Lepisosteus oculatus: one gene and its partners. The protein of the gene in region 1 purifies or fractionates together with the protein of each later gene. This does not show direct contact. Links are inferred from orthologs where the notes say so. Each region holds a gene or a part of one and is shown in the gene's direction. Other genes may lie near its edges.

Evidence for each region.
Region 2: the proteins of myh9a (region 1) and usp11 purify together in Homo sapiens (affinity purification with mass spectrometry; 3 studies listed by BioGRID, with this or other methods). This does not show direct contact. The link is inferred for Lepisosteus oculatus from reciprocal best matches to the Homo sapiens genes MYH9 and USP11.
Region 3: the proteins of myh9a (region 1) and sptan1 fractionate together in Homo sapiens (co-fractionation; 3 studies listed by BioGRID and IntAct, with this or other methods). This does not show direct contact. The link is inferred for Lepisosteus oculatus from reciprocal best matches to the Homo sapiens genes MYH9 and SPTAN1.

Annotation. Positions count from the first base shown.
Region 1 is NC_090707.1:39,742,450-39,749,796, reverse strand, and holds the start of myh9a (myosin-9), read left to right. Parts: upstream 1-3,149; 5' UTR 3,150-3,239; intron 3,240-7,347. UniProt on the Homo sapiens protein: Cellular myosin that appears to play a role in cytokinesis, cell shape, and specialized functions such as secretion and capping. Required for cortical actin clearance prior to oocyte exocytosis. Promotes cell motility in conjunction with S100A4.
Region 2 is NC_090697.1:76,577,636-76,584,982, reverse strand, and holds the start of usp11 (ubiquitin carboxyl-terminal hydrolase 11), read left to right. Parts: upstream 1-2,706; 5' UTR 2,707-2,797; coding exon 2,798-2,913; intron 2,914-6,717; coding exon 6,718-6,827; intron 6,828-7,146; coding exon 7,147-7,277; intron 7,278-7,347.
Region 3 is NC_090719.1:15,114,637-15,121,983, forward strand, and holds the start of sptan1 (spectrin alpha chain, non-erythrocytic 1), read left to right. Parts: upstream 1-2,776; 5' UTR 2,777-3,285; coding exon 3,286-3,321; intron 3,322-4,924; coding exon 4,925-5,164; intron 5,165-5,512; coding exon 5,513-5,638; intron 5,639-6,509; coding exon 6,510-6,650; intron 6,651-7,055; coding exon 7,056-7,202; intron 7,203-7,347. UniProt on the Homo sapiens protein: Fodrin, which seems to be involved in secretion, interacts with calmodulin in a calcium-dependent manner and is thus candidate for the calcium-dependent movement of the cytoskeleton at the membrane.

The DNA of each region.
Region 1 (7,347 bases):
ATTTTATGATATGTGTTTGTTGTAAATGTTTGTAATGTCTGTAGACTTTATTTTACTTTTATTTTCTGTTTTGTTTCATGTGAATTTTTATTTGCTTTAGCAACACTGATTGTACCCATCGGTCACACTAATAAAGCACCTTGAATTGAAAAAAAATTGAATTGAAATTGACAGGAGCAGAAAGAGAGACGGGCAGGGAGAGAGAAAAGTGGCAGAGAGAGAGACAAGGCAGAGAGAGAGACGGGCAGGGAGAGAGACAAGGGGCAGAGAGAGAGACGGGGCAGAGAGAGAGATGGGGCAGGGAGAGAGATGGGGCAGGGAGAGAGAGATGGGCAGGGAAGGAGACAAGGGGCAGAGAGAAATGGGCAGAGGGAGACAGAAGCAGAGAGAGAGACAGGGCAGAGACAAGGACGGACAGAGAAAGACAGAGAGAGAGACAGGGAAAGAGAGAAAGACAGAAGCAGAGAGAGGAAGACAGGGACAGAGAGAGATGAGCACAGAATATGATACCTTTTCTAACAACATTGCCTCATCTGTCTCTCAAATCCAAATAGTTTTATTGACATTAAAGGTTAATCACAGTTAATAGCAATTAGTTAATAACAGTTAGTAACAATTTTTACAACAAAAACACATTATTAGACTTTTCCATCCATCCATTTTCTAATCGTTATATCCAGCGCAGGTTTGCGGGGGGCCGAGTGAGGCACGCTGTGGGCGCAAGGTAGGACACCAGTCCATCACGGGGCACACAGACACCCCAGGGCACATTTCCCAGAAGACAATCAACCCTCCAGTATGTCTTTAGATTGTGAGAGAGGAGGAAACCGGAGCACCCAGAGGAAACTCGCAAACACAGGGAGAACATACAAACTCCATGCCGACAGCACCCCAGGAATTTCCAACATGAACTATTAGAGTCTCACTGTCTGTTCCTCAGGCTGGGACAGGAGATCACACACTGTATTATTATTATTGAGAGACAGGCTCACTGTCTGTTCCTCAGGCTGGGACAGGAGATCACACACTGTATTATTATTATTGAGAGACAGGCTCACTGTCTATTCCTCAGGCTGGGACAGGAGATCACACACTGTATTATTATTGAGAGACAGGCTCACTGTCTGTTCCTCAGACATATTCCAGATTTACAACAAAGACATATCATCAAATATTTACATATACTGTTAACAAATGGAGCATTATTGGGAGACAGGCTCACTGTTCCTCAGGCTGTGACAGGATATCACATACTGGGCTGCCAGTTCAATTGAGTTCCCTCCTCCCTCTTCCAGTAGGATTGGGACCCATTGTGATTCTGGCAGGTGTGGAAACTCTGGGACTAGATTTCTGAGTTTAGGGAAGAATGTTTCTCTAATTCCAGAGTATCTGTCACAGTGCAGTAGGAAGTGCACCTCTGTCTCTATTTCTCCCCGCTGGCAGTGGGAGCACAGCCTGTCCTCTCTGGGCAGACAGGTCTGCCTGTGTCGCCCAGTTTCTATGGCCAGGTTGTGGTCACTGAGCCTGTACTTCATCAGGGTCTGTTTCTTTTTGTTGTTTCTTATCTTGGTCAAATATTCAGCTAGTGTGTATTGTCTGTTTAGGGTTCTGTAGCATTCCAGTTTGTTGTTTGTGTGTGTGTGTCCCAGTGTGTGAGATGTTGCTGTTTGATCTGTGCTGTGATGTGCTTGGGTCTGAGTTGTGGTGCTCTAGCAGTGCCGTCCTGAGACTGGCTGGTGTCGGTGTGGCTCAGGACCAGCTGGCTCAGGGGGCTCTGTTTTGGGCTCAGCTCTTGGCTCAGCAGGGCTTTGTGGTGGTAGGAATTTTGGTCGCTGTTTTTTAGGTGTAGCCAATACACTCTCTCACTCTCTCAGATACACTCTCTGTCTCAGTCACACACTGTCTCAGACACATGCTCACTCTCTCACTCTCACAGACATGCTCAGTTTGTGTTGAGCAGCTGTTAATTTAGAAACACCAATCAACGCTGAACACCATGAATTTGGATACATTTTGAGCTGGCCAGCTATCTGTGTGGAGTTTGCATGTTCTTCTCCATGTGCAGGTTTGCTCCAAGTGTCCAGAGTCAGCTTGGGTAAGAGGGGTGCCAGTCTGTGTGTCCCCAATCGCCCATACTGGCATGTACTGTGGCACTGGCCCCTGGGCTGGCCTCAGCCTGTTCCAGAGCCTGCTGAGGTCAGAGCCAGAGCAAAGGGCTGGCTCTCGCGGGGCACCAGGCCTGACTCACCGGCCTCAGACAGCAGAAGGACACAGGTACCAGCGCAGGGGAGGCACCTGCTGAAACAGCCATCTATCCCGGCGCAGGAGAAGATTCACAGCTCAACTCTCCCAGCAGTCTCTGGAGCTCTGCAGAGGGGGGGATACCCACTGCAACAGACAACCCAGCCAAATAATTACAGACCAGTATGTCTGCCTTCTGTGGCATATAAAGTAATGGAAACAATAATCAGAAGACAACCAGGGGATCATCAGTATTAAAAAGAACATCCTAGTCAATGTGGATTTTAAAAAGACAGATCTCTTTAACTACCGTGTACCTTGATCAGCAGGAAACAGAGCGAGCGCCACTGGGCATTCAGATCTTCAGAAGGCTACTGACAATGTTGCTGCCAACAGATGTACTGTCAGGTGTGTCCGGTCGTGACCACGAGGAGGACCTTCCTCTGTCGGAGTGTTGTTAAATGGGACATGATTAGAAATGCGATCAACGCAGATACGGAGGCGGCCAGCTTCTCTAACATTTTAGCGCTCACGGGACTCGAGGGTGACTAATTACTGTGGAAGCAGGCAGGAAAGGTGTCTGCAGGGAGATGTTTGATGCCGCTGGCAGTCATACTTATATGGTAATAAACTTATCCCGCACATACCTCTCTAATTAAACACTTAGCGCTGCCTCCGAGCCCCGGGAGCAGCACCCTCAAGCCACGCCCCCATGCCGCTCCGCCACTGGCCGGTCCGGCCCAGATTGGCCTGCTCCGATTGGGCGGGGGGCGTGGCTGGGAGCCTGGCCCCGCCCCGCAGCCGCGCCCTGCCCGGTCCCAGCCAGTCTGCGCGGAAGCAGCCGCTCAGGCCGAGAGGAGACAAGCGCTCGCTGCTACTGCGCGTTTCCACCGAGCTGCACGACAACTGCTTTCTCGCCGCCGAGCTGGGACAGCGGGACGGGGAGCCGACCGAGTTCAGAAGGGTTTCAGACGATTCTCTGTTCGTCGTTGGCCCAGGTAAAGTGCCCTCTGTCAGCCTCAGCCGGACCAGGAACTTCGTGCTCTTGCGCTTCGTCACCGGCGGCTGAGCGGGCGTGGGGCGCTGCCGTGCTCGGGCTCCTACAGGAAGTGCGCCGGGAGGGAGCCGGGGTCCAACTCGTACGGGTCGCGCACGCCGGGTTAGTGGAGTCCTGCGGCTGCTGGGCTTGGGGGTGTTTCCGGGGTCGCGGTGGGTCTGTTTCCCGGGCTGCCGGCTGCTCCGACGGTCTCCGGGGCGGGAGGGACGGAGAGACACGGGCCCCCGAGCTGTCAGGGTCAGGACCGGGTCACTCGGGCCGGGAGCGGGCTTGTCTGGTCTCTTTCTGCTCACGCCCTGCAGAAACGCGCGTGTTTTAGGACCTGCACCCTCACCGCCAGCTCAGGTGAAACAGCGACACGCCGCCGCAGTGCGGCTCCAGTCCGGGTTTTCCTGGCGCCCGGGCTGAGCGGGTGACACTCGTGCCGTGGGGTGTGGAGACCTGGGAGCAGCAGCCGCACCCTCACCTCTCCGGGATGATCTCATCCACCGAGGAAGTGGCGCTGGCCACGGCGCGAGCCGCGACTGGGAGGGCTGGTGGGCGAGCTCGCGGCCGGTCCACGGCACGCCGTGGCGGTTCCCAGCCCGGTCTGATTCGGGTCCGGGGTCCTGCCTCCGAAGGAAATTTCTTATCGCGAGCCCGGGAGGCTCATTTCCGGCCGGTCTCGCCTGAGCCTAATCTTTCCACGGGCGTGGGGGGGAATCGCGTGGAACAATTAGGGGGACGGGTCGACCGGGACCGGCGGTGTCTGGAGTCTGAGGTCGGGGTCAGGGGTTCAGATACAACCGTTTTGTCACAGAATATTTATGGGTCCTGGTTTCACCCTGTGCTGGGTGCTGGAGACATCCTGCGGTTCTTGGCACTGTAGTGTTTGGACTGGGCCTCCCCAGAACTGCCCTGCCTGACGTCTCTGCGTGGTCTCGGGCTGTGGGAGTCTGTTAGTGTACCTGGCCTCTGGCAACGATGTCACTTCCTCCCTGTGCTCTGAGTGTGATGTCACTTCCTGTCTCTGTGCTGGAGCTCTCAGGCACCTGGGCGGATGTGGACACGCGTCCGACAACAGGAAGTTGAGGTGCGATGCTGCACCAAGCAGCCAAAAGTGTTCTGTCTCACCAGGCTTGCAGACGGCCCAGGGGGGAGAGAGGGGTTTGGGTTGAGGGGGTTTGGGGAGACATTGAGGGGGGCAGTGAGGGTGAGAGGGACAGTGAGGGGTTTGGGGTGAGGAGGGGTGTTTATAGCGAGGGTGTTGTCAGGCTCGGGTGAGGGTCACTGTGGGGGTGAATCTGTTCTGCGGAGCAGTGGCAGGAGAGGGGTTGCAGGTTTTCTCACCAGTGTCTCTGTGACTGAGGCGCATGTGCACAGTGCCCCTGGTGGCGCCCCCTGCGGGTCAAGGAGGGGGTTACAGTAGGTGAGCACGGTCTCATCTGTGCTGGGCAGATGGGCTCCCAGACACCTGGAGTCCATCTCGGCTTTTCTCAGCAGCTGAGAGCTCCTGAGTCCGTTCTGGTGGAGCAGAAAAGCAGCCGTTTCTGTTCCTGAACCGCGGTTCCTTCAGGTGCCTGTTCGAGGGCCTGCGGCGGGTGGTAAAACCCGGGGTGGATCTGGATCTGGCTGCAGGGACACTGCAGTCACGTCCTGTGAAACTGTGGCTGAGCAGCGCTGGCGGTGCCACCAGACAGCCAGGTGACCTGGGTCTACCGATCCAAGGGAGGAGAAGAGCCGGCAGCGGGCGGAGGAGTGTGGCTCTTCCGTACCCCAGTAGCGGTCCTGCTGTGCGACGCTCGGGGCCAAGCCCCGGGTGTGTGTGCGTGCTCTGCTGTGTGTGGAATTGGGCAGCTGTGTCGCAGTCTTGGTTGTGGCCTGTGTGTGCTGGAGGGGAGGTATTCGTGGTGGCTCTGACCCTGGCGCTGGGCAGTCTGAGGCAGGGGGGGTGCCCTTAGCACAGAGCTCTCGTGTCTCTCCTCGTACACTGGCCTGCCTGCCGCCGTCTCTCTGTCCTGGAGACCCGGTCAGTGTCCGGAACGGGACAGAGGACAAGAGCGCAGGTGCAGTTCTGCCCTGGACTGTGTGGGTGTGGCCGATAACGAGATTGCAGGAGCTGCTGGCTCCCTGTGCTGACTTGTCCTCGAGCTCGGCAGACATTCCTGCTCTGTGCACTCCGTCAGGAATGAGCTGCTCTTCTCGTTGCCTGGGGACCCGCTGACTGCTCACTTCCTGTTGGGAAGTTTTCCCTGTATCCTTATCTGTATCCCTTATCTCCCTGTGTGGCTGTGGGCTATCGAGGGGCGGAGACGCTGGTGGCCAGCAGTCCTGATGATTTGTCTGCTGAGCAGGGTACTGGCAGTGTCAGCGGTTCTGCTGCAGGACAGCCCAGTGGCAGCAATTATGTACCTCTTAGTTCACTGGCTGACTGGTCAGCAGAAGCTCTTCCTGGAGTGTCCAATGGGGGGCGCTCACAGGCTGTATCCTTCCTCCAGTGCTGCTGCTGCTGTCTCAGTGTCCTCTGAATGAATGCAAATGAGGCTCCAGCCACATAGTGTGAGGGCCGGTGTTTTAATGGTGTTGAGCAGCTGCTTGCTCAGCAGTGGGCCCAGTGGGGTGTGTTGTCAGCCTGGGCTGTGCCCTGTGATCCCAGAACCGGTGCTCGATCAGCAGCAGCCTGTGCCTGTGTGAAGAAGAGAGCTCTGAGGGTGTATCCGCCTGTGAGCAAGGGAGTGTGTCACACAGCAGAGAGAATGAGCCAGGTCTGCTGTGACTTTCAGCTGCAGGGCTCACGGTCTGGCCTGATGCTGGTCTCTGCCTGTGCTGACAGCAGCTGCATTTCTGGAATTCTCTCCTTATCCATTAGCGAGTGGAATGGTAGGAATGTGTCCCAGAGGACAGGGGAAACAGAAGGCAGCCCGGGTCGGTGCAGAAGGGCCTGGATTGGATCAGGGCCTCTCTGCTGCCCTGCGGTGTGGGTACTGTTCTCAGGGTGGAGGTGTGATGAGCACTGTGTTCAGGGTAGAGGTGTGTACTTTGGGGAGCACTGAGTTTAGGGTAGGGGTGTGTGTACTTTGGGGAGTGCTGTGTTCAGGGTGGGCGTGGGAAGCACTGACTTCTTCAGCTGTGGGGTCACAGGGGTCATGGGAAACTGGAAAGGGAGAAGAGCTCTCATCTCCAGACTCGGTGAGCTCTGTTGCAGTGACCAGTGAGTAAGTACTGCTAATCAACAACATAAATCCTGTTAGTTATTTCCATCCATATCTGAAAAAAACATCCGAGACTGGCTCTCTGCTCCTTAGGCTGTGGCAGGAGATTGCATACTGGGCACAGGGTGTGGTCCTGCAGTCCTCCAGTTTGTGTCTCTCTCCCAGTGGGGGAGGCAGTGCTGGTCAGTGTGTGTTGTTTGTGTGCGTGTGTCCCAGTGGGAGAGGCAGTGCTGGTCAGTGTGTGTGTGTTTGTGTGCGTGTGTCCCAGTGGGAGAGGCAGTGCTGGTCAGTGTGTGTGTGTTTGTGTGTGTGTGTCCCAGTGGGGGAGGCAGTGCTGTGTGTGTTGTGCTGTGTGGTGGGTGTTGCTGTAGCTGGTTGCTGTCAGTGAGCTTCAGGACCAGCTGGCTGAGGGCTCTTCTCTGGGCTCAGCTCTGGCTCAGCAGGGTCTTGTGATGCTGGGAGCTCTGCTCACTGGTTCTCAGGGGTGACCAGTATTTTCTTGCAGTCTTCTGTATGTTGGTCAGCAGTGGGTATCTGCCTATTCAGCCCAGGATTTGTTTCTGTCTCTATCCTTATTCTGGTAGAGCAACTGCCCTGTCCTTATCTGCAGGAATCAGAGTAGTTAATAGGCAGAGCAGCAATTTATCCCTCCACACGCACATGCACAGACATGCGCAAAGACACGCACACACCCTTTCCTGTTGTTCAGCACTCCTGACAGACGGCGGGGGGAGGGAAAAAGGCTGAATCTTTGTATTTAGCAACAGTGTGACCTGGTGTGGTCTTTGTACAGATTAGATCTCTCTCTTCTTGCCTCTGGGTTTATTGGTCTCTCTTTCCTGAGCCTATAAAATTCTT
Region 2 (7,347 bases), on another chromosome or scaffold:
TCTACTGAAATCTGTTCACTACTGCAAACGCACTGATTTCCACCACACCGGTCTCTGCTGCTGGCCATTCCCCGAGACGAGCCTGCTTTTGGAACCGAACTTTCCCTCGGATCCTTTAGAACTGCCGAGCCGCGGTCCGGGATGAAAGGCTGTACTCTGGAGGGGCCCGCCGAACTCGATTAAGATCCGGTTGCGGTGCAACACGGCGTAACAGCCTCATGAATCAGGCTGCATTAAGATGGAGAGTTTATTCAAACGCGTCTCTGCCTTCTTCCCCTGCGTGGAACAAACTCTAGGACGCGTTCTGCGCGCTACACCCCAGAGCGCGAGTGGTGCTCATAATTATATCTTAAACGACCTTAAAAAACTTTGGATCTCATGTTTAATAGCAAATTCTGTTTGCACAGCACAAGTATTTTTATGCAACGTGGTGACGAATTGCATTCTGTAGATTCTGATGCATTTTTCATTGTGTAGCTAAATATGTCCCCATCAGCATAATCTCATATCAATACGGTTTAAGACCACGAAATGCAGGTTTGAAAGCTTTGAATATACGGTTTAGCCTAGAAAGTAGGCGGGCAGGTGAGAAAGCCATCATGTCCCCCACGCAGCACGGCTCTGTCATGGCCACCGAGGCAAATTGGGTGTGAAATGACTCCGAGTCGACTGTCAGGTGAAAGGAAAAGCCAGTGTCAGCCTTCAGGAGGGCCGAGAGAGGGGCAAATAATGGGACACCAGTCTTCAATCTAAAACGATTAGATGCAGTGCCAGGCTGAAGCCTGTTTACAACGCTGACAGCCTGTCACATCCATTTATGTCCTAGCCTTGGCTGTCCCTGTACTGCCCCCCACTGGCAGACCGAAGGCACTGTCTCAGATCCACACATCCCCTGACAACTGTACACCAGGCTGAGGGGATGTTTTGGGGTTTAGGGCAGTGGGGTTCAGGGGGGAATAAAAGAACACACAACGAAAAAGGAAACATGACTGTAGATGTGACCAATCTCGATCAATGGCAATCTGGAACAGTTCGTCACGGGGGGTTAAAATGTCGAATGAAATGATCAAACTAAATAAGCAAAAACCTGAGCAGAAGAAAAGTTAAATCCAAGCTGCACTGTTACCACCTTGTAGCTTGATTTAATCAGGTCTCAGAAGCTCAGCAGGGCTGGGTCTGGTCAGCACTGGAAAGGGGAGGGAGAGACCTCCAGGGAAAACCAGCTTGCTGCTGTGAGTGGTGCTGGTGGCCCAGTAGTTGGACTAATACTCCAGTAGGGTGACTGGGAAACTGAGCTGTAGGAGTTCCTGAAAGTCTGAACACTGAAGGTCCTATAGAACTGTTCCATGGAGTAAGGGTGTTAACCCCAGTGTCTGGGCTAAATTCCACAATGTTGATGATCTTGGCTTTCTTCCCTGTACACTACAGTGGTCGCTGTTTTCATCTGTTGTGGTATAATCAGAATTATAGGGGAATAGTGGCAAGATTGCAAAAAACAGGATGCAAGTCAGCAAGCCTAGCTTGTTTTTGGTTGCTAGTAGCTAATAAGTCTTATGACATCCAGCTTCTTGAAATACACCTGGATATCTGTCTTGCTGGATTCTTGCTCCAGGCTCCCTCCACTCTTGATGTAAATAAGTGCCTCCTGTTCTCAGCCCTGAATGCACTTCCCTGTAGTTTCCTCTTGTGTCTTTGGGGGGGTGTTTCATTGTTCGGTGCAGGATGTTCCTTCAGAGCCCAGGAACACACCAGTCATTTGGGCTGGGACCGAGTTAGGACTGATTCCACAGCCAGGATGTTTGTGTGACAGTGAACAGAATTGTACACAGATACCGTCTTACTAGTGCATTGCACAAATTTAACACAACACCCCTGGATTCAAATTGTTTTTTTAATTTTTTTATTTGCCTTTCTTAAGGCTTTCCCACACTGACTGCAGGAGGAAGAAGATGCGGGAGCAGAAATACCTGAATTGTTTTCACAGGTGTCTTCTTCAAGCTCAGGCTGTCTTGCCTTTATTTTTATTCATGACTTTGGTACCAACACATACTGTAACACTCCTTTGCTGCCTCTACAGTGTTTTCTAGTCTACTTATTTTTCTTTCATAAATGAATTTCACTATTTACTGACTACACCTACATCTGTATTATGTATAAGAATTTGGTTAATAATAATAATAATAATAATAATAATAATAATAATAATAATAGAATGGAGGTGTTATTTATTATATTTGAAGGTCCTTCCTCTGTTGTAGTTCAAACACAAAACCTCTACAACAGTACAGCGTTGTGTGTTTGTAGGGCGCCACCTGCTGAGCGAAAGTGGAACATGTGATTATGAGAACGATAAAGATGTGCTTATCGAAGACATCACCCACTGCTGTAACTCGGAGGATAACACACTCAGTGAAATGTAGTTTGTTCATCCTATTGGAAAGTTATTTCAAGTGTTCACTCTGTAACTGTAAAAAGTACTTTTAGTGGTGTAAATAAATCATACAAATACCAGTGTTTATTATTGTGTTCTTCAATTAAAACCTACACCCTCTTAAAATGCGACTTCGGATTATTAATAACTAATCGGAATGTTAGTGAAAAGGCAGGTGAAACGTGCTCTCGGCCGAAGCGTGTGCGGCGGCAGCGGGGGACTGATTTCACAGTGACACCCCCGGAAGTGGTTTCTCAGCCCGGATGGCTTCCTGCTTCCGGCGGTAGTCGGACCCATCGATCTGCTGTTCCGTGGTTTTTCGGGCAGTTCGCGAACCCTCACAGACACAGACATTGATGATCTATCATGGCTGCTGCTGCTGTTACCGCGTCTTCGTCGGCAGAGCCGCCGGGATTGGAGACCCAGCGCGGAGAGATAGAAGATATTATCCAGGGTCACAGGCTGCGCGCCGGGGACAGCTGGTAAGGCGATCGCCGGAGAGGAAACCCGAGGCTGTGATCTGACAGGGTGTAAATTAACTCATTTTCCCCTGTCCCCCCACTTCACCTGACTGAAGATCGGTCCGCCACAGCGATCCCCTGCGTTGACTCGGTCCGTGTAGGTGCAGGGGTTTGTACGTGATGAATTCACAGCAATCGCCGAGCTGCTTTCGCTACTTTTTCATTGGAGGGGCTTGCTAGTGTAACTGCGTTCATATTGGCTTTCGGCAGCGGGGGTGTCATTTCAATCGTTCAGCTTAAAGTCCCGCACAGCCCCCTCCAGGGGAGCCGGGACATGGAGATGTCTCGGGTGGGAAAATGGAAAAGTTCAGGGCGTCCCCGATAAGTTTGTCTTGCTTGTGGGTGAGCGGTGAAGCTGCAGGTCTGAGCTGGTTTCGTTTTCTCTCCCTCTGACGTCAACTCCGAGAGAGGGAAACGACGCGGAGAGTCGGATCCGTTCACTCTCAGCAAGCCTTCGGGCCGGGCTCTTCCTGGCCGTGACTCAACCCCCGTCTTCAAGCGCTGTTCAATCACAGAGGCAGCACCAGGCGTGTCGAGCGAGCGCCTGTTGACATCCCCCTCTGTCGAGATGTCAGACCTGTACGAGCCGTGGTCCGCTCTGCATTACTGGATTTTCCAACGCGGGTTTAGCTCGTCCTGTCGGGCTGGGGCTTGATGAACAATTTTAGGATAAAGTGCCTTCTGGTTTTTGGACCGGTTGCCCGGATCGGCCGGCATGATGCGTGTTTCCTAGCGACTGTCGGGGATCGGTTTCGCAGGTGCCCGGCCTGGTGCCGTCTCGCCACTCTGCAGAGACCCGCCTGCCCGTGGGCTCTGGACCTGTTTTTCCACGACCTTTCCGGACGTGGACCTGAAAGAGTGCAGCTGCAATCGTTTGACCCGGTTAGGAGCAGGGCCATGCGTGGCGTGCACTAGTTCAAAGTATCTGCTTTCATTATTCAAAAGATGACAATTCAAAAGATAGTTTTTCCTCATTTGCCCCAAGAATTGGTTGATAAAACATTTGTTGTGCATATCCAGGTATATCAGGATGGCCTGTAATGACAAGTATGTCTAAATGGGAGAGCTTTTAGATGATGGAAGTGGAGCATCACCTCCACTCTGGGAAGGGAGTGATGTGAGTTTGTTATGGTTTTATTTGACAAAGCCTTTTGAGAAAAATTTCTCAGAGTATCTGCCGGGGGACCTGTTCCTAGCACTGGGTGTTTTAGTGGAGCGATCTGAATGGCATATCTCACTCATGGTACAACAGCTGTGCCTCACCACGGATTCGAACCCGCAACCCTGACCTCCCCCCCCCCCAACTGTGGGCTTCAGTCCTGCTCTGCAATTCCTGCCAGAGGTGCACCAACTTGTTTATTAATGTTTCATTTATCCTGGGACGAGGATCAGTTTTGCTCAGGGTTGTCTGCTTTGGGAAGTTTGAGTCTTTCTGGTCTGGAAAAAAAAAAGGAATGTGTTCATTTGCACAGGGAGCCCAGGCGGTTGTGCTCTTGTCTTGTTTGCACGCCGACAGGAGCTCACCAGCCTGACCCTGGTCCAGGCCATCCCTGACTGGCTCTCCAGCAGCCGATGCGCAGGTCCGCCGTAGCGCCGTCTGCTCCTGAGCACGCTCTCCCACTTATGTCCTCAGGCCACAGCAATGATGAGGTTTTTCTGTTTGTGTTTTTGTTATGTATCCACGCAATTCGGAATTGCCATTTGGAAGATTTCAAGTCTCGGCTGACAGCAGCAGATTGGGCAGAGCAGACAGGCTCCTACCACATGTCTTGGGCTTCTTCGCCCCCTACAGGAGGACAAGCGTCAGGACAGGCCCCGCTATGTTACTAGGAGCTGAGAGAGCTCTGCTTGACTAGTCCCTGATGGACAGCACCGTTTGGGGAATCCCTGTTACAGTGCATTAGTGATGTGACCCAGGCTCGAACCCGGGATCAGGGAGCTCAGCCTAAGCTGGGGCTCGCACCTGTACGGGAGGAGTCACTGGGGAGCCCCATACGTTTCTCAGAGGACACCCAGTGACCCTCAAAACTCGCCAAGCCGGGGAATGAAGCTTCCTGGCCACCCAGTGCAGAATCGTCGCTGCGCAGAGTGAGGGAAACCCCAGCAGCCCTGCGGCACCAGTCCGCGTGCTGTAGCTGGGCGCAGTTTGAGTCTACAGCTGGACGGGCAGAGAGGGAGCCTGTTCTGGCTCGAAGCAAGACAAGACAAGCCGGGGGTCGGCACCTCTCCCACTGCCTCTCTGGCAGGACTCCTCGTGCCCTGGCTGGGCTCGCGAGGCCTGGATCGCGGTCAGCGTCCGGCCCTCTCCCGTGACGCCAGTCCATTAGCATCTGCAGGTGAAGATTCCCCCCCTCGCTCTAGTGTGGCGAAACCTCTGGGTCAGTGAAGAGCACCCCTGGCCCAGGACACCCACAGCCCTGCAGTGGGGGGAGGTCGCCTTTCGTGTGACGTTTGGCCCACATGGAGATCCCAGCAGGCGAAAGAAGGACACAACTGACCACAGGTCTAAAGCAGATGCACTAGTTTAGTGGATAAAAATAATATACAGTTTAAGTAATGTATCATCGATTGTGTTGCCTTTCCTGGGTATATATCATCTGGCCAACAACATCCTGCTATCTGAGAAAAACAAATCAGCAGATAGAATGCTATACTTCAGCTTCCTCTGTCAGTAGCGTTTTAGAAGTCACACCTGTATTACCTCCAGCTTGCCTTATTTCTGTTACAGTGTTTTTCTGGACTATTCTTAGAATCCTTTGACGTGTTTCTTTAAACTTGAACAGGACCTGTAGGAGGCGCTCTGCCCTCCAGGCTTTAATTCCTAAATTGAGGCCCAGGGATACTGTGCTGTAGGAGGCGCTGTCCTTCAGTTGAGACTTCTCACCTGAGGTCCCGACTGCGTGCTCGTTAGAGATCCTGGGTTTCCTGGCTGGTTTCCTCTCTGGGATTGTACAGTCTGGTCTGCCTGAAGTTCCCCCTTAATCCCGCTGGTGCAGCCATCGAGGGTCCTCTTGGATGAAAGCACCGAGTGCTCGCAGACGCTTTTGCAAACATTTTTCAGGTCCCGGAGGCAGTTTGCTGCGCAGAATTGGCAGAATTGACTTTCAGTTGTTTAAAGCTCTGTATGTCTTCTGCAGTTTCAGCACTGTTAATTTTGGTGTAGACTGGCAGAGGAAATGGGCTCTTTTTACACTGAGAGCTCACAGGCTTATCTTCAGTGCAGTAGCTCCAGCTGGTTGCTGGCTGGCTGATAGCGCAGGGCTATGGAGAGAGTAACTGTCTGCTGGCAGCTGAGCCTAACTCAGCCTGGCCACTGGACACGCCCCACACAGCAGAAGGTTTCTGTGAAGCGGTCTGCAGAGATCTCCGTTGAATATTGACCCAGGGGAACAAGCAGCTCCAGTAGCTTCACATACTCTGTATATAGAGGCTGTTCTTCCTCTCTTCCGACCCTTCACAGCACTCAGAGCTGTGGATCACTCTCAGTCCAGAGGATAAAAACTGTAACCCCTTCCAGATTGACTTGACTTTTTTCTGCAGGCGTGTTTGTGTAAAGTGCTTCTCCTGTGGGGACAGAAGCCGAGGTACAGTATACCCCAGTGAACCCCAGGCATGTTGTGCTCGGCACACAACCTGCCACCCCACCCCACAAGACAAATGTGCCCCTCTGCCTTGAGCGTCTGCGTCAGGCCCGGCGCGGGTCTGGCTGTTGTCTGTGCCACAGGCAGGGCGGGGCTCTGAGACGCTGTCCCTGTCGCTGCGCAGGTACCTGCTGGATCTTCACTGGTTCAAGCAGTGGAAGGAGTACGTGCACATGGGGGACCAGAACTCCTCCGCCTTCCCGGGACGGATCGACAACGCGGAGCTCTTTGAGGGTAAGGGAGCGGGCGCTGGCCCAGACCAAGATGCAGCGACTTGTAGAACACAAATACCATCCAGCCCGTTTAGAGCATTCCTCTAAAACAGCATGGCAGGGCTCTGAACAAGCACGGAGAGGGCAAGTGGTATTTTAGTCTCTGTTGCACCAAATTTGAAATTTGTTCTTCCTCCCTCTTAGAACAATCTTCACGTTGAGGTTTTCTTAAGAGGGCTGCACAACTCTGCGGTTTCACTTCTCCTTCTGGTTTTTTTTTGCTTGTGTTTTTGGAAATTCTCCCCGGTGTCTCCCCGGCCGTGCTCCGGTGCGCCTGACAGACCTGGAGTCCTGTCGGCTGAAGGAGCGTATGGTGGAGGAAGAGGACTTCATCCTGGTGCCCGCCGAGGCCTGGCGCAAGCTGCTGGCGTGGTACGGCATGGCGCCCGAGCAGCCCCCCCTGGAGAGGAAGGTACGGGGGCCGTGCCCGGGCACGCTGGGGCTTGGCGAGAGGGGCCGCCTGCGCGTTCGTAGTACCCCCA
Region 3 (7,347 bases), on another chromosome or scaffold:
ATGGGTGAGTTTATCATACGTGGGTGCAGAGTTGCTTCCAATTCCAATAAAATCGCTAGGTAACCCAGAAGATTTCTGGGACGTCGTGAGCTGTGCTGCTGGGGCTCGTCCTGCTCTGATGCTTGCGGTGTGAGCCGCATGTATGCGCTGGGTTTGACTTCGCATTGCAGAGGCAGTGCGTCGGGCTCTGGCGCAGGGAGTCGTGCTCTTGCTTTGCGCTTGCATTCATCCTGTGGACTACAGCAGCTCCTGCTCCAGGGCTCTCGTACTCCGCCTGTGATCTGTGCCAGGGCACTCCTCAGTCACGTCGGTCTCGGGCCTGGGCTCTCCCTGTGCCTTCTTCCTCCTGTTCCTCATGAGCTCTGGGTTGCCCAGATCTACTGAACCTTTCATTGAACTATTTGTGTTTAAAAATCAGTTTCAGCTCTTGAAAAGGAGGTTAGAAATTGGCATGAACCCTGTTCAGAGTTCCAACAGTTTATGATTTACGGTGGAGTTTGAGAAATGAGTCTGAGGCACCAGGACAAATACTTATTATGCAAGTGTCTGGTAGTCATTCCTGCCTGTTTATACATCATCTGATCCTTGATTTCCTTGTTTAGGAAGCTGTCTGAAAGCGCCGATTGTGTACCAAGCTGAAATTTCTGCTGCAACATTTTTTAGAAATAGTTGCGCATAAAGGAGATTTTCTGAAACTGAGATCCGAGTGCAGAACCCAGTTGGATAAAAAAGACGTGGGGCAAATAAAGGTTCAGCAGATGTAATTAATCCACAGCTCAACAGCAGTAAAAACTGATGGTTACTCCAGGAAAGGGCAACGCTGTTAGAGAGGTTTTGTAAATGAGGGTTAAAGCAAATGAGCTGATTGTGGCTGGCTGGAGAAAATCTGAGCAGGTGGTGGTAGATGATGCACTGCAGTACTGGGGAGAAATTGTGTGTGCCCTGCGATGGACTGGCGTCCTGGCCAGGGTGTGTCTTTGTGTGCCCTGCGATGGACTGGCGTCCTGGCCAGGGTGTGTCCTGCCTTGCACCGTTGCCTGCTGGGATAGACTCTGGCCCCGGCTGCCTTGTGTTGGGGAAACGGACTGGACTTCGTTGTGAGAACGTGTTTCCTGGATTTGCTCTGTGCTTGTGTTCCTTATCCAGCAGTTTGGTGTTGTTTTTCTGTGTGTGCTGCATGCGAGTGTATTTCTGCACGTGGAAACAAACTGCCTCTTGGAACTTTTTTCTTCTTTGTTTTGCTCTTTGGGAAAAGGGTTGCTTTAATATTTTTAATGTCAGGGTTTGTCAATGGAAGGATTTCTCTTCAGTTTCCAGGTTCAGCTCAAGTTTATCATTAAATGTAAGTGTGCAGTTGAGTAAAGCACCCAGTGAAATTTTGCCTTTTGCTTCTCTCTGTATTGTGAGATGCAGTGTGCTGGGAGTGTTGCAAGACGTCTGTCCCCCCTGTAGTGGGGAAGCTTGAGAAAGGTGCAGTGGTTTATTAAAAACTGATCTTTTTTCTTATGTTCTTCATGGACTTTAAAAGTTTCTTGTGCCTTCTTAATAAAAACTCGTTATACACCATAATGAAAGGTGTGGGAGTCCGTGGGGTTAAATTAAGCGCAGTCCAGGGTGTCTGATGGTAGATGGCCTAATTTGCTCGGCACGTGCTGTTGAAAGTGTTTAGAAATGGCTGCAGGTGTGCAGATGACCAGATAGTAGTTGCAAATACTGTAGATGAACCATCTTATAAAACCGCCCCATCTGACGGCAGGGGAGTGACTCAAACACATCGGCTTCCTAGGGGACGAAGTGAGCAGGTCGGTGGGGGGAACAAGACGTTTAAGGTGTGGCCACTCGGCAGGCAGATCCCAGCAGTCCTGTTTCCTGTTTTGCTCAGTTGCACTTCGGCCCCGGCCCCTGGAACGCGGATCGGAGGTGACCTCATCCGTTTCCTCCTGCTGCTTGGTTCTGCAGCCTGCTGGGTATTGTGGACAAGCACGGCCCTTTGCTGGCGGGTTAGAAATCCCAATCCCAGGCTGATTTATGTGTTTGGTTACGTATCAATATGAATTGATGTTATCTCAGATAATGACTCATTGTTGTTTGAATATTTTTTGGGTGGTGCAAATATCTGCTATCTATTACTTCGTTATGGCCCTCGGCTCCAGTTTACAGTGAGCGCTGATCTGCCAGGCGTACTTCAGCGGTGATCGAATTCCTCAGGGACGGGGCGGCCTCTATAAATACCGTTGTCCTGTCCTGGAATGTGGAGCATGCAGCTGTAGAAGCCTGCTGGGGGGAGTGGCTGGACAGGGGCACATCTCTTGCATGTCAGCTGATGGCTACATCCCTGGCATTGGAAGTCTCCTTTTTACTCTGAATTTATTTTTCAGCTGTAAAAGCAGCTTTTTTGAAAAGGTCTGGCCCCCCCCCCCCCAGGCCAATTGCGAGACCTCCTCATGATGGCTAAGCATTTGGAATGCAGCGGGTGTTATTTTTGTTGTGGGTTTTCAATAAACGCAAAATGCCTGTTGAAAAAGGGAGCTGCTAGCATCGTTCATCGCCCCTCTCCACGCACACGCACGCACACAGCTCCGCGCGGCGTGGAACGCAGGGGCGGCCGGCGGGGGCGGCGGAGCGCGCGGGGCTGGGCGTGGCCGGCGGCGGAGGGGCGCGCCGGCGGGCAGAAGCTTCCAGAGCCGGCCGCGCGCTCGTTATCAGCGCGGAGGGAGGGGTCCGCGAGCCCTGTGCGAGCGGGGGGGGCTCGCGGGGGCTCACTCTGTCTGACCGGGGTCACGACCTCCCTCGCCTTCCCGACCGCGGTGCAGGCTTGAGCTGTAGTGGAGTGTGTAGTCAAGCCATCTTGCGAGTCCCTTTCGCTTACAGAGGCAGCAGCTGGGGGCCGAGACGTGATCCAGTCAGATCAATTTCCGAAAGCGTTGCGACTCTCTTTTCGTTGATTTTTGTGAGCGAGAGTCGGGTTTGTGTTGGCCGTTGGTCTCCTTGAACTGACGTCCTGATGTCTGTCAGACCGGCAGGACTTGAGTAAGGGAGCTGCTCGGAATGGAAAAAAGAAATCCGGTAGTTTAGTGCTGCCCGGCGTGTGGTTTGTCAAGAGACTTGGAATCCGCAGCTATCTGAGGGAGAGCTCGGTGTGGATCTGAGTGGCCTTATCTGGCTGCTACAGCAGCTCCGTGCTGCACGGCGATACCTCGCTGCCAGCCAGCGTGACTCTTGCCTTGTCTGTCGTTCCTTAGTGAAGCAGGAGGCGCTGGCACTGCGGACCGGGCACTGAGCCCCATGCCTGGCGTATGCAGGAACACCCCATCGTCACAGGTCTGGGTCCTGTAGGCACAGGAGTGGTCTGTGAGGGTTTGCAGTTAGCCGGCAGTGCGTTTTGGAGCAGTTCGCGTGGGGAGGGGGGGGGCCGCGTGTCTCTGGGGGGTTTCTGACCTGTCGCAGGAGTGAAAATCCCAAAGGGCTTTGGTGGTTGATGAGATCTAGCAGGTTGCGGGTCAGTCAGGCCAGCAGTGCGTGAGGGGTTTCAGAGTGGGGGTGGTCTGTCCTCCCTCTCGCCATGTCCAGCAGGAAGGCAGGGGCTCGGCTGTCCCAGCACCCTGCAGAGGGGGAGGCCAGACGCCCGCGGCGAGGCCAGTTCCCCGTCCATCCGGGCGTCCGCGAGAAGACAGCTGCACGACCTGGTGCCAGGAGAACAGGACTGCAGCACCTGCTTGCTTAGTGGAAACCAGCGTTTTCCTCACGGCTTTGATGTGGTTCCAGCTGCTGTTTGAACGCAAGGCGCCGGCAGACATCTTTCATTCTGGAGTCATAGCTGGCACTTAGTCCTAGCCTGACTCATCCGGAGTCCTGCTCCTCAGATCGCAGCAGTGAGATAAAGGGAGGGACTTTGACACAGTGCTGCCACGGGCCTTTCATTTCTCTGCTGCACGTTCCTGCCCTGGGTCAGGGTTCGCTGTGAAGCGTCCCAGCGCGAAGGGCGGGGCTGAGCCGGGAGCTGCAGTCGCCCTCTCGGGTCTCGGCCTGCTTGGCGTCTGTCCTCGACCCGCCAGCTGTTTGTTAGCGTCTCGGCCAACAGCTGCTCCCCCTCATCTGGTGCCAGCTGGGAAAGCCATCAGGAGGGGGACAGGACAGCCGCAGGGATTTCTTTCAGCTTCATGAGAGAGTGAATAAAGAAAGTTCACAAGATTCTGATCGGGGAGAACCGAGATGTTGCCCGTTTCCCCTCGCTCTCGTTTAGAAGGGGGGCGTTCTCGCGAGTTAGCAGTGTAGCGTGTACCCCGTGTGCTTGGGTCGACAGCTCGTTTGGCTTTCTGCAGGTATTCACAGATATGGTTGTGGAAAGCAGGGTTCTTCATTTTAAATTTAAACTTCTCCGTTGTGCCGCGTGAGGCATGTCAAAATCGCTTCCGATCTAATGCGGCGTGGTGATGCACAAATACTGGAAAGGCCGCGAGACACAGTTAATAATTAGGGCTTTGAAGTTTGGGTCTGGTAAGCTTTAGGGACTGCTGGAAAGGTTATAAACAGAGCAAAATAAAACCCAGCAGGTGTGAGCAGCAGCTGAATGGTGTCCTTCTTTCCCTCCTCCCTCCCTTGTGGAGAAACCAGCTGGACACAGGCCCCTGGTCTCCAGCGGTGTTTTACCTGGGTTTTGTTTCACCTTTGGTCAAGTAGTGACCCTGATTATATTCCTAGAGGCGTATATGGCTCTCATGAAGGGCACAGTCGTTCCTCTTCTAAAGAGCAGCTCAGGGCCTGGCCGGAGTGTCGCAGTTGCCTGCGCGATGAGAGCAGCTCTGAGGGCGAGGCCCTCTGTGGGCTGAGCCGGAGACCCCTGCTGGCGAGACCCGGTACTGCGCCGGGAGCTCTGGGGGCCCCGAGTGTGACTCTCTTCCTGTGTGTGTGTGCGTGGGCTCAGAGGATGGACACCAGCGGCATGAAGGTGCTGGAGACGGCAGATGACATCCAGGAGCGCAGGCAGCAGGTGCTGGACCGCTACCGCCGCTTCAAGGAGCTGTCCACGCTGCGCCGGCAGAAGCTGGAGGACTCCTACCGCTTCCAGTTCTTCCGCCGCGACGCCGACGAGCTGGAGAAGTGGATCCAGGAGAAGCTGCAGATCGCCTCCGACGAGAACTACAAGGACCCCACCAACCTGCAGGTCAGGAGCCCCCGCCCCCAGGGCTCTCTCTGCGAATGGGGCCTTGAGCCCGGGAGGTTCGCGTGTGCTCTCTAGGTAGAGGCCTCTAGCGCGTCCCATGTGGCTTCCTTTGTGTGAGGGAAATGCCGCAGTCCACACCGGACCTTTCCTGTATGTCCACGGCCGTCTGGAAAAGAAAAACTGGTCTCGCTGTCGCAGCTGCGTAGCTCGCTAATTAAGACCTTGTGCTGATGGCAGTGTTCCCCCCCTTTCCAATGCCTGGGGCCCTCTCGGATCCATGGTGCCCGGAAAAAAACCCGGATTTGCGCGGGCTCCGCTAAAAGCGTCTTCCTCCTCTCGCGTCTCCAGGGGAAGCTGCAGAAGCACCAGGCCTTCGAGGCCGAGGTCCAGGCCAACGCCGGCGCCATCATCAAGCTGGACGAGACCGGGAGCCAGATGATCGCCGAGGGCCACTTCGCCTCCGAGATCATCCGGGTACGAGGCCGGCCGCCGGGAGCCACCGGGCCTTTCGGCTTATTTTGTTTTATTTTGAAAAGCTTTTCCTGTCACATTGGCGGTTTTTGTGGGTTTTGTAACACCACTGTCCCCCTCTGTCTGGTTCAGTCCTTCACACCCTACCGGACTGCCCAGCGGCCCATAGTAAAATCGGTCCATATCACTGCCTATATACAAGTAGGTGCCTGGGTGCTGTGGAGCTCTTCCTGTCCAGTTTCACCCCTCGCCTCTCCCTCTCCTCTGCTTCCCATCTCGAAAGTTTTGATTGCTGTGTAATTATGGATATTTGGTGCATCTGTCCTTTAAAATGTGTGGCAGTGAGTGGCCTCAGGCGTGGGTCGCTCACCAAAGCAGACGGAGGCTGAACTGTTTGTCCTCGGGGGTTGTTGCTGTTCTTCTAAAGATGGAAGAGCTCTTATTTTGTGGGCAGGGTCTGTGCATGCAGGTATTCCTGTTCTCGCTGTTTGAGAGTGCCGTCGTTGGAGGGCTCGGTCTTCGTGACCGATCTCTCACTCCCAGATCTTGGATTTTGGGAAAATTTCAGTATGTAAACTCATAAAGCTGAGAAGGCTGGCTGACAATGATGGGGGGGAAAACCAGTTCTCAACAGCATATTGGCTTAGTAAAATTGGGCTATCGCGATCTCCAAGGCAAGTAGTAGAAAGGCTTTGAGTGCTGTGCCTCAGGCACATTAACCTGATCCCGCAGGAATGGGTGATGAAGTCAGTCTGGACACCCAGATGGGCGAGGCTCGGCGCCGGAGTGCTTCCTGGACCGGGCCTCTCCCTGCTTTCGAGGCTCGGCGCCGGAGCCCTCTCCGGACCGGGCCTCATGCCGCTCTTGGTTCCAGACCCGGCTGGAGGAGCTCCACCGTCTGTGGGACCTGCTGCTGCAGAAGACCAGGGAGAAGGGCGTGCGCCTGCTGCAGGCCCAGAAGCTGGTGCAGTACCTGCGGGAGTGCGAGGACGCCCTGGACTGGATCAGCGACAAGGTGCGGCAGCTTTGGAGGGTTTTTAAAGAAGTGAATGTATATAGATATCATTTGTTTAAATATAAGTTACAGGTGTAATAAAAGATTCCGTTTTAAGGAACGGTGAAAGTGCCTCAGCATGCGTATCCCCGATCCTGGGCATAAATGTCTTCTTTCACCTGACACTGGCAGTCATGGGGGTGAGAGGCCATAGATTTTGCAGAGGGATTGTAGGGTAAATATTGGACACTGTGTTATAGCTGGAGCCTGCCTCTGTCAACCGCTGGTAGATGTACAAGCCTACTTCTGGCTTTACTTTGTCGCAGACCATGTAGACCATGTCAGTTCTCCCCAGGAGCCGTCCTGTCGGTTCTGGGGACAGTTGCTCTCTTAGCGCTCTGACGGCCGCGCGTGTTTGTCTGGCAGGAGGCCATCGTGACGTCGGAGGAGCTGGGTCAGGACCTGGAGCACGTGGAGGTCCTGCAGAAGAAGTTCGAGGAGTTCCAGACTGACCTGGCCGCCCATGAGGAGCGGGTCAACGATGTCAACCAGCTGGCCGGCAAGCTCATCCAGGTACCCTGGGAGCGAGCTGCCTAGGTTCCGCAGGACTTCAGTTTTAATTGGACTGACTAGCTTGCATTGGGCTGGGCTCTTGTGTTGTATGTCTTTGGCAACAGTATGTAACTATCCTGGTTTATAAAGCCATTGTAGTGCTTCA